Drosophila melanogaster: one gene and its partner. Each later gene encodes a partner of the first gene's protein in a complex. Each region holds a gene or a part of one and is shown in the gene's direction. Other genes may lie near its edges. The genes, in order: disp and hh.

Region 1 (7,725 bases):
AAACCGACTAACTTTAAGCAACATTTACCATCAATTCTATGGTATACAAAGACGAAAAAGTGCTCAACAATTTGTTTATTTCTGTCTACTGCTAATGTGCTCATCTTGACTACTGTTATCACTTGTTGCCGGGACACTGGCGCCACCTTCAATTTCCTCCGCCTTGGCTGGCACTTCGGATGTGAACCGGAAGAGGACGGGCACCTCTCCTATGGAGGGATTTCCGTTCGCTTCCAACAGGCGAATCCACGAGAGCAATGAGTCCTTTGTGGAGGTGCCTGTGGCACAGATGGCCATAATGGTTCCGTCGTCCTGTTGGTGGACAGAGCGCAGCTTTCCCAGCTGGTTGTGTCGCCTTGGTGGAGCACGACCAAAGAAGGGTACTTCGATGTGGGAGACATCGTCCTCGTCCAGCTGCCGCTCATCTAATTCAGACAGGAACTCAGAATCTGCATCAGCGCGCAGGGTAAAGTAGTTGATCCGGCGATTCCTAAGCCATATGTGAAAGGGTCCCTCGATGTACAGAGCTTTCTGGCGAGAGTGCTCCCGCAGCAGTTTCTCCTGCTCGGGACTCATTCCGCTCACGATCCACGTATCGTCAATGGCATCCTTCAGCTCGCTGGTCTCGAAAACCGTGATTTTGGACCGCAGGTCGACCGTGCACATCCGCTCTAGCGCCAGCTTGGCCATTTCCAATGTATCATCCGGAACAGGATCGGGCAGTGGCCACGGTGATAGGTTCTTAAACTTTGGCATCCAGTACATCATGCGCCAATACTTGCGCAGTGGATGTCCCTGCCTGCCAAACACATTAAGCAGCATCGCCTCCATCTCGTGATCGGGCATCACCCCGCAATCTTCCATCTGCTCAAGCAGATCAATGATACACTGCTGCTGTTTGGGGTAGTGCATGAACTCTGCCTGGAACATGTTGGTGGGTATGAACTTGCCCTTGGGCATCACGTTGATCAGGGCCTTGTAGACCTCCAAGTCTCTTTCCACCCCGAAATCCGCCATATTCTTGAGTGCCGCGTAGATGAACTCCACATGGTTCCGACGGTGGACGTCGCGCTCCTGGAATATCTCCACCATGGTCAGGTAGCTGTTTTTCGTCCTGTCCTGGGCGGCGGCAAAGGGGTTCCTTAAAGCCGGCAGGTTTTTGGTGCCGGGTTTTTGTGCCCTGGGATTTGGATTCGGGTTCTGTTTCGGATTTCCCTCGTCCGTAGCGTAGTTTCGAAAGCGGCTGACCAGCGAATGGCCTCCATTGCCGTGCAGCCGGAGCAGGCATTGTGCGCGGCGCAGCATTTTTTATTTATAATTAATTAATTGAATAAATTTGCAAATACGATTACAAAACATTGCACAAGCTGCGGAACTAGTTCGCGTTTTGCAGCACTGCTGCTGCAACATATGTTTTAATAGTGCCGATAGTCTAGCGTATTTAGCCAAATTTGGTAAATTCTAGGGCGAAAAATTGTATTTAGTTTCGGCTGTACCCAAAGATTTTCAAGCTTAAATAGTGTCATGACCGTAATACACGCTTAAAGTCATACGCTAGTAACAAAAGTTGAAGTGAATATTGCATAAGCTCATTGTGACTACCTTCACGAATCTCTTCCTTCGGAGAACAGCTGTTTGTCTGGCTTAGGGCCATCATCACTGGTGACTGAGTTGCTCAACACTGTATTAACTCAGTGTATCCTTTGTGCTGCTTTTTGTTGTTATTTCACCGTTTTCTGCGTTATCCTTATTCGCATAGTTTTCGGTTGTTTTTCTGTTGTTTAAGTTAGTTCCGAACCCTGAGTTATTTGCACGGGCGCGCGCCTACATAAAAATGCAATCCAACAAGCCGATCTCTGCGGCGGAGGCCTGACCAGCAGGCAGTATCTATAACAGAAGCAAAACAATAGACTTTGGCTTGGTCCCAAGGAGCACCCACCAGCCCAACGTTATTCGAGACTTCCAGCCGCCAAGGATGCACTGAAGGGAAGCGGAAACCCAAGGAGCATTTGATGTTCCCGCAATGCGAAGAGGGTAAAGAGGATTCGGGCATCACATTCTACTGACATGTTGTGCTTCGACTCGGAGAGGATGAACTGGTACTACCACGTCCTGGCCAGGCGTCCCTACCTGGTGGTCGTCTCCATTGCTGTCTACTGTGTCGCTTGCATCATCGTGGCCCTCGTCCTGAACAAGCTGCCGGACTTCAGTGATCCCACCTTGGTTTGTCCTATTAGATTTGTCCAAAACATGTTCACTGCTTGATATTTGGAGAATATATCTTATCTTATTTTACAATTATTTTTTAAAATATTGAGCACATGGAAATAATCCGAAAATGTCTAAATGATATTATTTTATTTAAATTTCGTTATATATCTATTTTTTTTAAATATTAAGAAGTTAAAATATTTTAAATATTCACAGAATTGCTATAAGAAACTACAGGATTACTTGTATACAAACTATTCCTGTATTATATTTTCATTGTTATTATGTTATTGTTGTAAAAATTGTGGAAAATAATAAGATTAATTTCTCACTAATATGACTTATTTGATCACTTTATAATGTGATTATTTGTCATGATTAATATTTATGATTCAACATTTATTTCACTTTAGGGCTTCGAAACCCGCGGCACCAAAATTGGAGAACGACTGACGGCCTGGTACAACCTGCTGCAAGAGACTGACCACCATGGTGCTCTTTTCTCAAATCCATCGGATCTGTGGGAGAGGAGACGGGTAGAGCAGGGCTATGTGGAGACGAAGCTGCATCCGAATCACAGGCGACGCAAAAACAAGCACAAGAACAGAAACAAGAACAAGCGACGCAAGGAACAAAATCAAAGCAGCCACGAGCATCACGATGTGGCGCAGAAGATGATGCAGTTCAAAAAACGGCTGAAGGCTACTAGTTCTCCCTCTCCAAATCTCGGCTTTGACACCTGGATCGGGGACAGTGGAGTATTTCGCGACTACGAGATTACAAACGACAGCGCTTCCTCCTCTTTGGAACCCACGCGACGCACTGAGCAAATCGAATATGGCCACAACACCACCTCAGTGGACGAGGAAGAGCATCAGCAGCGGGTGCAGACCAAGAAGAGCACTTGGCGGCTCCTAAAGCAAGCCGCCACCTTGCCCACCGACGGTTGGGCAGACATGCATCGTCGCCAACCCATCGAGGGATTCTTTTGCGATTCATCGCCCCGGAAGGAGTACTCTCATTTTGTGGTCCAGCGGATCGGTCCCAACGCCACCGATTCTCTATTTGATTTGAACGGACTGCTGGCCATGTGTCAGTTGCAGGATCAGATTACCGAAGTCCCCAGCTACCGGGCATTTTGCGAGCCGGAGATGCTTACCACCGAGTGCTGCCGGCCATGGTCACTGCCCAACTACGCCGCCATGCTGGCCAACAAAAGTTCCTGTTTCGACCTTACCACGGAGGATGTTACTTCGCTGCACACGCTGCTCTTGGGCTGCTATGAGTACTTCCATGACCTAAAGATGGACAACCACTGCAACGAAATACCGCATTGTCGTGCTCCTGAAGAGTGCAAGCGGCTAAATATCGTCTTTAACGTCCTGAATTTTCTCACCGACTTTAGTTTCATCAAGTCTAATGTAAGTTATTGAGTTTAAAATAAGCTTAGACCCCAAAACTCTTTTATTAAAACAGATTTGTATTTGTCCGTTGCTTTACTCGTATTGCATTAAATTCGACCATATAATATTGGCACTTTTTTTTTTTGTAGGACTCGAATGTATACCTGAAATACGCCATGATTTTTATACCCGTGGCGCAATCCAACCGCTTGCTGCCACTGTTCCACGAATGGGAAGACGTGTAAGTATGGAGCACAGCTAATATTTGCGAAATTGATACCGGTCGATGGGTGTGGAGGGCATTACATTATTTTTAGCTTTCATCAAGGCCGGAACGCATATGGTATCAAAATAGGTGGTCAAGTTGTACTTTGTGAAAATTTTTCGTAAATCGCTGGCGATTTTGTCCAGAGTAGTGTCCTTTAGCCTACGTTCTGGATAGAAGGAGCTCCTAAACGGCTCCGTTTCCTGCAGGAAATTGTAATAGCACCCATATGTGGTCCGATAGTCCTCGTCCTTGAGAGAGTAACCTTTTTTGTTCCTATAGCGCCGTCGACTTACAAAAGAAACGAAGTCATTCCGAGAGTAATCGTTCATGTACACCGATCTACGAAGGTCCTTCACAAAGTCCTTCAGAATTCGGAAATCCACAGGCGGATACATAAAAAATAGCTTGTAGATCCTTTCGTTACACCACTTGTTGCGCTTGATGAACTGTGCGTAGTCCTCCCGCCAGTCCATTGATTGGGGCCATGTCTTTGTTTTATATTCAATGCCACCAACCTTTAGATTTGCGCAGTAGTGACCACTTATTAGAGAGGGATCCTCTTGGGTTTTCTTAATCGGGGGATTGTAAACGGCTCTTTCAGTATGATCCACATAATCCGCTCTGCTGGTGGTTACAAGCACCCTCGTCCTTGGCAATTCCATTTTAATTAATTCCTTTTCCCGTTGAACTGGATCCATTTTGCAATTTTTTTTGTATTTTTCTTTTATTTAAAAATATTTTTGATGTTTTCTGTTTGATAATAATATTCTGAATGATTTTTCAGGGAGCTGATCAACGAGCTTGTGGAAGTGGTTGCGATGGACTTGGGCCTCGAAAACGAACTCTTTAACGAGCTGCTGCTGACGGACGTGTGGCTAGTTTCGCTGGGAGGGACATTCGTCATGGCTAGCGTGTGGTTGTACACGGGATCGGCATTCATCACCTTGATGTCCTGCGTAGCCATATGCTTTTCGCTAGGACTAGCGTACTTTTTTTACGCCATCGTGCTGGAGTTTGAGTTCTTCCCCTATATGAACCTTCTGGCCGTGGTAGTAATAATTGGCATTGGAGCAGACGACGTATTTCTGTTTCTTAAGATCTGGCACTGTGTGCTGACCGAGAGGTTCAGCAATCGATGTACCTTGACCACTCAGTCCCAGAGTGCTCTTCCCACCCTGGAGAACAGTGATCACACGGAGTCACTGGAAAACATAATGGCGCTGACTATGCGACATGCCGCTGCCTCCATGTTCGTTACCTCACTTACCACCGCCGGCGCCTTTTATGCCTCCTACAGCAGCTCTATAACAGCTATAAAGTGCTTTGGGTAAGTTAATAAAAGCAAGATTAGATGAATCTTAATATTTAGTAATGCTCATTTAATAAATTATATTTTTAGGATTTTTGCGGGAACTGTCGTGGTGACCAACTACTTACTAATGATAACTTGGTTGCCTGCATCGGTCTCCATCATGGAACGACTATTTGCCACAAGGATGTCCTGCCATCATCCGATGTCAATAAAGCTGATCCACGCCTGCAAGAAGTCAATTAACCGATTTTGTCAGATGTTTGAGGAGTGCATCACGAAAAGCATCATGAACTATGCCTATCTCTGGCTGCTGATCTTTGGGGCTCTAGGCGCGTCCAGTGCCGTCATTGTGTTCTGGTATCCAGGACTTCAGTTGCCGGAAAAATCACACTTCCAGCTCTTTGTGTCAAAGCATCCATTTGAGGTTTACTCCAGTCTCAAGCAGCAGTTCTGGTTCGAGAAACCATTGCAGGCGTACGAGAACTTCAAGATGCACATGCATTTCGTCTGGGGCGTTCAAGCGGTGGACGACGGCGACTATACGAACCCCAACTCATACGGCCACCTGCACTATGACAATAATTTTAACGTATCCAGCAGGCCGGCACAACTCTGGATCCTTGATTTTTGCCAGAGTGTGCGCCAGCAACCCTTTTACAAAGAGACTCTCGGCATGCTGTTGCCCAATTGTTTCATTGAAAATCTTATCGACTATATGAAGCGCAGGTGAGCATATACAATTATATACATACTTACAATGGCTTAGAAAGCTCATTAAAACTGGGTTCAGAAAAATCGATTTTGTTTACATTTGAAAGCTGGAACTGGTTTAGATGGATTAAGACAGGAGATATAGAGACACCAATACAATTTGCAATCATTAATAGAAGCTTTTGTTCATGTTGTTCAGATGCATCGATGATATGGACAGTACCAGGAAAGACCGTTCACCCTGCTGTGACGCACAGTTTCCCTTTGAGCCGCACATATTTGAGTACTGCTTGCCACAAAGCATATCCAACATGTATGACACTACATTTTTCCGGCCCGGCGTGGCAGGACCCAAGTTTGCAGAGGCTCCCCGACTGGAGACTGAGGATTACCTAGGAATGAGTGGAAATGAGAGTGCAGAGTACAGCACCAACGGATCATTTACACCGCTACTAGTCAAAGCCCTGGTCATCGAGTTCGAGTCCAACGTGGCCTACAGCACCATCTACGCAAATATTAGGCAGTTCTACGAGTCTGTAGAGCACTGGTTTCAGATGCAGTTAAAAACGGCACCGCCGGAACTTCAAGGAGGATGGTTCACGAGCGACCTGAAATTTTACAATGTGCAGGACACCCTTTCGCACGACACCTTTGTTGCCATTTGTCTGGCCATGGCTGCATCACTTGCAGTGCTCCTATGCTTCACCGTAAACATATTGATTTCCATCTACGCCGTACTAACCGTGTCGCTAAGTATTTTTAACACCGTGGCTGTGCTCATCCTGCTCGGCTGGCAGCTTAACATCTTGGAGAGCATTGCGGTGAGCACGGCTATCGGTCTGGCTGTGGACTTTAGCCTACATTACGGTATTCACTACCGGATGTCCCCGGTTAAGGAGAGATTGGCAGCCACACAGTTTGTACTATCCCGCATCATTGGACCCACAGTGATGGCGGCCACCACAACTGGTCTAGCTGGCGGAATCATGATGGCATCCAACATATTGCCCTACATACAGATTGGCGTCTTCCTGGTCGTTGTCATGATCGTTAGCTGGTTCTATGCCACTTTCTTTCTAATGAGTCTGCTTCGGGTTGCCGGTCCTCAGCATGGTTTTCTGGAACTCAAGTGGCCGTTGTGGAGCAAGCGAAGCAGTGGCAGCAGCAAGTTCTACGAGCGGTAAGGCTTTTATCGTATTGACCCTTTCAATTTTCTATATCTCTCTGTTTTGCGTTAATGTCATTTTTATCAAGCCTGACTGACGGGTGACTACCCGTTATCGGTTATTAAAACTCGAATTTCTTTGTGCAGGAAACCCAGCCAAGTGATCGCCAGCGAGCAGCTGCTGACCCCCACAAGCTCGGCCATCGTTGAGTTGGCGAACTCGGAGACGCACGAACTGGAGTCCCTAAACTCCAACAGCCTGATCAAAACCATTTCGGGCATCGAAAGCGCCCACGCATTGTCCTCGCTGCCGAGGGACTTCGAGCACTCATTCCAGACGATGCACGAGTGCAAATATCAAACGTATCCGTCTACATCCAATTGAGTTAGTTACTATTGCCGGACAACGCGTTGTTGTTGCCAAGAAGAATCAGGCAACTGCATTTTTATACAGGGTACGGCGGCTCTCAAGCCTGCCCGAGATACATTTATATATACATATACACGCCGTGTGTCGGCATATTTAGTTTTAAAATATGCTGGCGGTGGCATATGTACGTGTTGTGCGAGTTCTACATTGATATACTCTAGATATATGTGTAATTGTACTTGGTAGGATTAGGCAAAGCTATTTTCAAAAGACTCCAGGCTATTG
Region 2 (4,915 bases), about 17 Mb from region 1:
GTTTGCCCATGGGCCCGGGATGGTCTTCGCATCTGTATCTGGCTTGTTCACGGTGTGTTGTGTGTTCATTCACAAATGAGCGCCTTAAGCAGCTCCGCCCCACAGATACAGATACAGATACAGATGCGGAGGCCCAAAGACACATTCGAAACTCACACAGATACACACAGCGACGAACGTAATGAGTTCGGTGCGCACACAAAGAAGGCAGAAATTTATGTGGCAGCCACATAGACTCTCGCACACACACTCGAATGCCCGATGGCCCAGCATCCAAGACTCGTATATTCCATACCCCCTTCCATTTCAGCTTCTTCATCTTTAATTTGGTTCCGTGTATCTTGTTGATGGCGTTTTGCCTTCTCTTATATCTTTTGCCGCCACGACCAGCTATTGTATTTCTCCTCTTTCGATTCGTTTTATTTTTTTTCTTCGATTCATTTCGTTTTTTGTCGAAATTATTATGCTATGCCTTGCATTCCAGAGCGTTACCAAAAAAAAAAAAAATGCTATGCCCCCCCATGGAATCCGTTACATGAGCAGGTGCACCTTGGCCCTTGGTTCTACCCCGTTGGAAAGTGACAATTTCTTGGGCACACATTGACGGGCGTATTCCACAATTCGCGCTTGCCAAGTGACAGTGCAAATAGACCTGGTGCAACCGCAAAAAAATAAATAAGGTCTGGAAAAAGAGCCAAAACAAAAGATTAGCGCTTGCCACAGATCCAAGTTCTGAAAGTGCGAAAAAGCTAAAAAGTTAAATTGGAGATTTCCCAGTTGTGGGGAATTTTATATTAGCCAAAGTCAACAGAGATAAAACTGGAAATTTATTGATTTCCAGAGTGCGGCATCAATCCGCAACTTAGTTATTTGCTGTGCATAAATATAAGGTACCTAATTGCAAATTGTATTTGCCAAAATCGTTATCGGTTTTTGCAATATATATAGACATATTTGCGATTATTGACATGGCGTTGAACGGAACCTCTGGCGGAGAAGGAAATTGTTAAATTGACCAGTAATTTGTAGGTCCTAAGGCGATATCTAATCGGAACATGACCACTACCTGAGGGGCATATGAATGACTCACTGGGTGACATAAGCTCGGAGCCTTCGATGATCATAAAGTACTTTAGTTTTAAGCACTTTTTCCGTTCCTTGAAGACTGGCAAACGGAAGCAGCATTGAACCCATATGTACTCCACATATCATACCATATACAATATACATATATATGTATGTATATATATAAGGCTGCCCAGGAGTCACACAATACACAAAAAACCGGAACATTATTAATTTACAAGCAATAAAGCGAAACGAACAACAAAACGAAGAAAGGCAACGGAAAAAAGTGAACAATGGCCTGCGATGGAGGAGTTGCAGGGCCAGAAGCGGCTAACAAGCCACAAGACTCGAGTCGAGTCGAGTCCGAGTAGTGCAAGTGTTAAGAGAAATTGCAGTTGCAGTCGAGGATGCTGCAGCTCTTCTGCGCCAGCAACGCACACTATCACACATCCAATTGGCAACAGGCACACACTTTCATCCATGGCCATAATGGACCGCAGCACACTATGCCAATGCCATCCAACATCTGTTGCCAACATTGCTTGTACATAAGAGCCGAAGACTCAGGCACTAACACATGCAAACCAGTCTTGTGAGTATGCTGCATCATCTGGTTGTCCCGCTTCCACTTCCCTTGCGCATAAGGCAGCATAAAAATGAACACCACAGCCGATCGAACGTCGAGTGGCATACGCATACAATCACAACGCGGAATGAACTCGAGGCGATAGTGTGTGTGTGCGTGTGTGTTTGTGTGAGCTAAAAGGCCTAGGGTTCTTGAAAGCACCCTCGTCGTACTCGTACTTATACTCGCATTCGTATTCGCTGCCGTACTCGTACTCGCACTCGAACACTCTGCGCGCACGATACTCCGCTCGGAAATGTCATTTGTCAATCACAGTGCGAGCGCAACGGTTGTCCGAACCGAGAGCTAACTGCCAGTTCAGCGGAGAACAGTTAAGACCGTAGTTAAGTCAGTTAGGACCTGCGATTTCGCCGACTCAAGTATTTCGATTTAGCCAGTTTAAATCCAAATAATACCATAAATCTGAATAACAAACGTGTCGCCAAATAAGCGTGTCTGTGTGCCAAAAGTGAAGTGCTAAATAACCAAAAAAATAAATAAAAAAAATTAAAGGAGATACAAAATCCAATCAAGAGAAACAGCAAACAACGAGTCTTAGATAAATCATGGATAACCACAGCTCAGTGCCTTGGGCCAGTGCCGCCAGTGTCACCTGTCTCTCCCTGGATGCCAAATGCCACAGTTCCAGTTCCAGTTCCAGCTCCAAATCCGCAGCGAGCTCCATCTCCGCAATCCCGCAAGAAGAAACGCAAACGATGCGCCACATTGCGCATACGCAGCGTTGCCTCAGCAGGCTGACCTCTCTGGTGGCCCTGCTGCTGATCGTCTTGCCGATGGTCTTTAGCCCGGCTCACAGCTGCGGTCCTGGCCGAGGATTGGGTCGTCATAGGGCGCGCAACCTGTATCCGCTGGTCCTCAAGCAGACAATTCCCAATCTATCCGAGTACACGAACAGCGCCTCCGGACCTCTGGAGGGTGTGATCCGTCGGGACTCGCCCAAATTCAAGGACCTCGTGCCCAACTACAACAGGGACATCCTTTTCCGCGACGAGGAAGGCACCGGAGCGGATCGCTTGATGAGCAAGGTAAGGAAAACCCTCAAACACCGTAAGCTAGTAACAAAATTTGTAATACATCATTGGGAAAGTTTCGCTTATCGGAATCATTGTGACAAAGTGACTTAAAAATTATTTGTAAAAACCGAAATATTGACTTATTAATCACGATTAATCAGAAATTACTTAACATTTAGTATTGTTAGCAACACAAATGAAGTGAAAACCCAGTCTTACGCCAAATAAATGACTAATTCTAGGAAAAAATGTGAGATAACTCTACCAAACGGAACTTGTAATGCTTTAATAGTACACTTAATATTTGGTCTAGGTATTATTTTGTGATAAAAGTAAGCCTACTTTGATATAGGAACACAATGAAATGCCTGTTAAATCTGAGGTATGGAGGTCAAACACACCATTTAGATGAGATTTTATTGCTGATATTGTTCCGAATTCGTCTTCTATATCAGACAGCTGGGTTCCGATTTGCGGCTAGGCTAATTCCGTGCTTATTGCGCACTGCACTCACATTTTGCCACCCGTCGTGGTCCGTAAATTCAATTGTCAAATTAGCGATCGCTTATCGCTCGCGCTGTTTTATAGCCCGTATCTAGCGATCGCCCGATGGCACGAGATTGTGCCACTCGGTTCCCATTGATAAACGCTACGTGGCGGAAAAGTGCCCAATCATTGATCGAGCATTGGCTATTTCACCAACTTTATGGTGGCGATGGCTGCCATAAAACTGGGCTGAAATATAGTATTAGTTTTGAGCATTGGCCATTTATATGATTAATTATGCATCTTATCGCCGCACTGCACTTGTTTCGCAAGTGCAAAAAAACAGGAAGCCCGATACTCGACGGCTGAACGGTAGATAGCGCCTGAATTCCATCGAACTAAGCCATAAAGCTGCAAAGCGTCCCGAAATCCAAACAAACCGAGCGAACGCGTTCAACAACCTCGAGCCCAATCGATCCCCGGGTCATCATTGCAAATACATAGTTTACTCAACATTGTGTGTACGCTTCGCAAATGCGTTTTCGATTTCGCGCTGAACAACAAACAGGGTATCGAATGCGGGAGATTACAAGTCCCGGTATTTATCAGGTTTTACTCAGCCAAAACCACCGCCCACCGCCCACCGCCCACCCTGTCCGCGCCCCAAAAGTGGAGGCACGCGAGCATTTGCCGCTTATCACCGGCGATTGTCTGATAAGCGGACTGCAGCCAAGTAGTTCGTTTGCCAATACACGGTTACTATCCCCCCAGATAGTCACCCTATATTTGCCAACATGTGTAGCTACATGCTGGCACTGAAAGAAATTGGGTTCGCTTGGCATAATACTATATGCTTGCCACTTTATGGTTTATGCTAAAAGAGGTATATGATGGTTTTTATGTGTGAAATAAAATGTGAAAATTAGTTTAGGTGCAAGTTATACGTTATACGTTATACGTTGCTAGTTGCGCTATATCGGTGCCAGAACAAAATGTGTGCTAAGATACCAGCTAAGGCGAAGAACAGCAGTATCTTATCGCCATAAAAAAAAAGGGGCGGGGGTAGTGAAAGTGGAGTGGGTGGCGGTGGGATGACCACCCAGTTGGTGGGGGAGCGGTGGTTGAGTTTCAAAGTGCGAAACAGCTAAAACAAGTGTTCAATTCAAGCACCATGCGACAACATTTCCAATTAGCCAGCAGTTAGTGGGGTGGTTGCGTTGCGGCCAGAAGTCGGCTTAGCACAGTCAAGACCCCCTAAGAGGGCCGACATTGAAGTTGCTGATATATATAATCGGCACGCTTCCCACCAGCTTATCTTCGTGTTACTTTAATGAAATTTTAAGTGTCGATGTGTAAAAATAGCCTTGTTATTGATTAGCGCCATAAACGAGCTATTGGGCTTTTATGGCGGACTTCCAGTTTCCTTGGACGATTTGGTGCTATTGAACAACAAACTAATAATCAGAATTGTGGGAAGACAGATTACGCCTGCCAACCGACTAATATAGTTGATTTAAAGGGTTTAGTATCGCCCACACAAGTGTTACAATGACTTTCGATTTGTTGATTTATTAGTCAGTGGTTAGTGTTTCGCAAAAACGACTTAGATCTTTAAAAATCAGATTTTACTGTACTGTAAAGTTAAATCGTATTATCGAACCAGTTGTTCGCCTGCTAGAGTTTCACTTGAAAACCAATTCCA

Evidence for each region.
Region 2: the proteins of disp (region 1) and hh are in contact, whole or in part, in a cryo-EM structure (PDB 6TD6), measured with the Drosophila melanogaster proteins. Residues at the interface, in NP_524734.2 of Drosophila melanogaster: His77 (codon at 2,697), His78 (codon at 2,700), Arg250 (codon at 3,216), Tyr253 (codon at 3,225), Glu296 (codon at 3,354), Ala404 (codon at 3,809), Gln405 (codon at 3,812), Ser406 (codon at 3,815), Asn407 (codon at 3,818), Arg408 (codon at 3,821), Gly434 (codon at 4,710), Asn755 (codon at 5,745); in NP_001034065.1 of Drosophila melanogaster: Tyr100 (codon at 2,557), Pro101 (codon at 2,560), Val103 (codon at 2,566), Leu104 (codon at 2,569), Lys105 (codon at 2,572), Gln106 (codon at 2,575), Thr107 (codon at 2,578), Asn110 (codon at 2,587), Leu111 (codon at 2,590), Ser117 (codon at 2,608), Glu164, Lys165, Val168, Ala228, Gly229.

Annotation. Positions count from the first base shown.
Region 1 is NT_033777.3:5,850,251-5,857,975, reverse strand, and holds the start of disp (dispatched), read left to right. Parts: upstream 1-1,664; 5' UTR 1,665-2,067; coding exon 2,068-2,223; intron 2,224-2,624; coding exon 2,625-3,632; intron 3,633-3,693; exon of another isoform or gene 3,694-3,763; coding exon 3,764-3,855; exon of another isoform or gene 3,856-3,872; coding exon of another isoform or gene 3,873-4,580; exon of another isoform or gene 4,581-4,644; intron 4,645-4,666; coding exon 4,667-5,209; intron 5,210-5,281; coding exon 5,282-5,920; intron 5,921-6,104; coding exon 6,105-7,085; intron 7,086-7,217; coding exon 7,218-7,455; 3' UTR 7,456-7,725. Other genes in the region: ECSIT, read right to left, coding at 76-1,305; CG34287 (uncharacterized protein), read right to left, coding at 3,873-4,580. UniProt on the Drosophila melanogaster protein: Segment polarity protein which functions in hedgehog (Hh) signaling.
Region 2 is NT_033777.3:23,138,866-23,143,780, reverse strand, and holds the start of hh (hedgehog), read left to right. Parts: upstream 1-1,874; 5' UTR 1,875-2,259; coding exon 2,260-2,739; intron 2,740-4,915.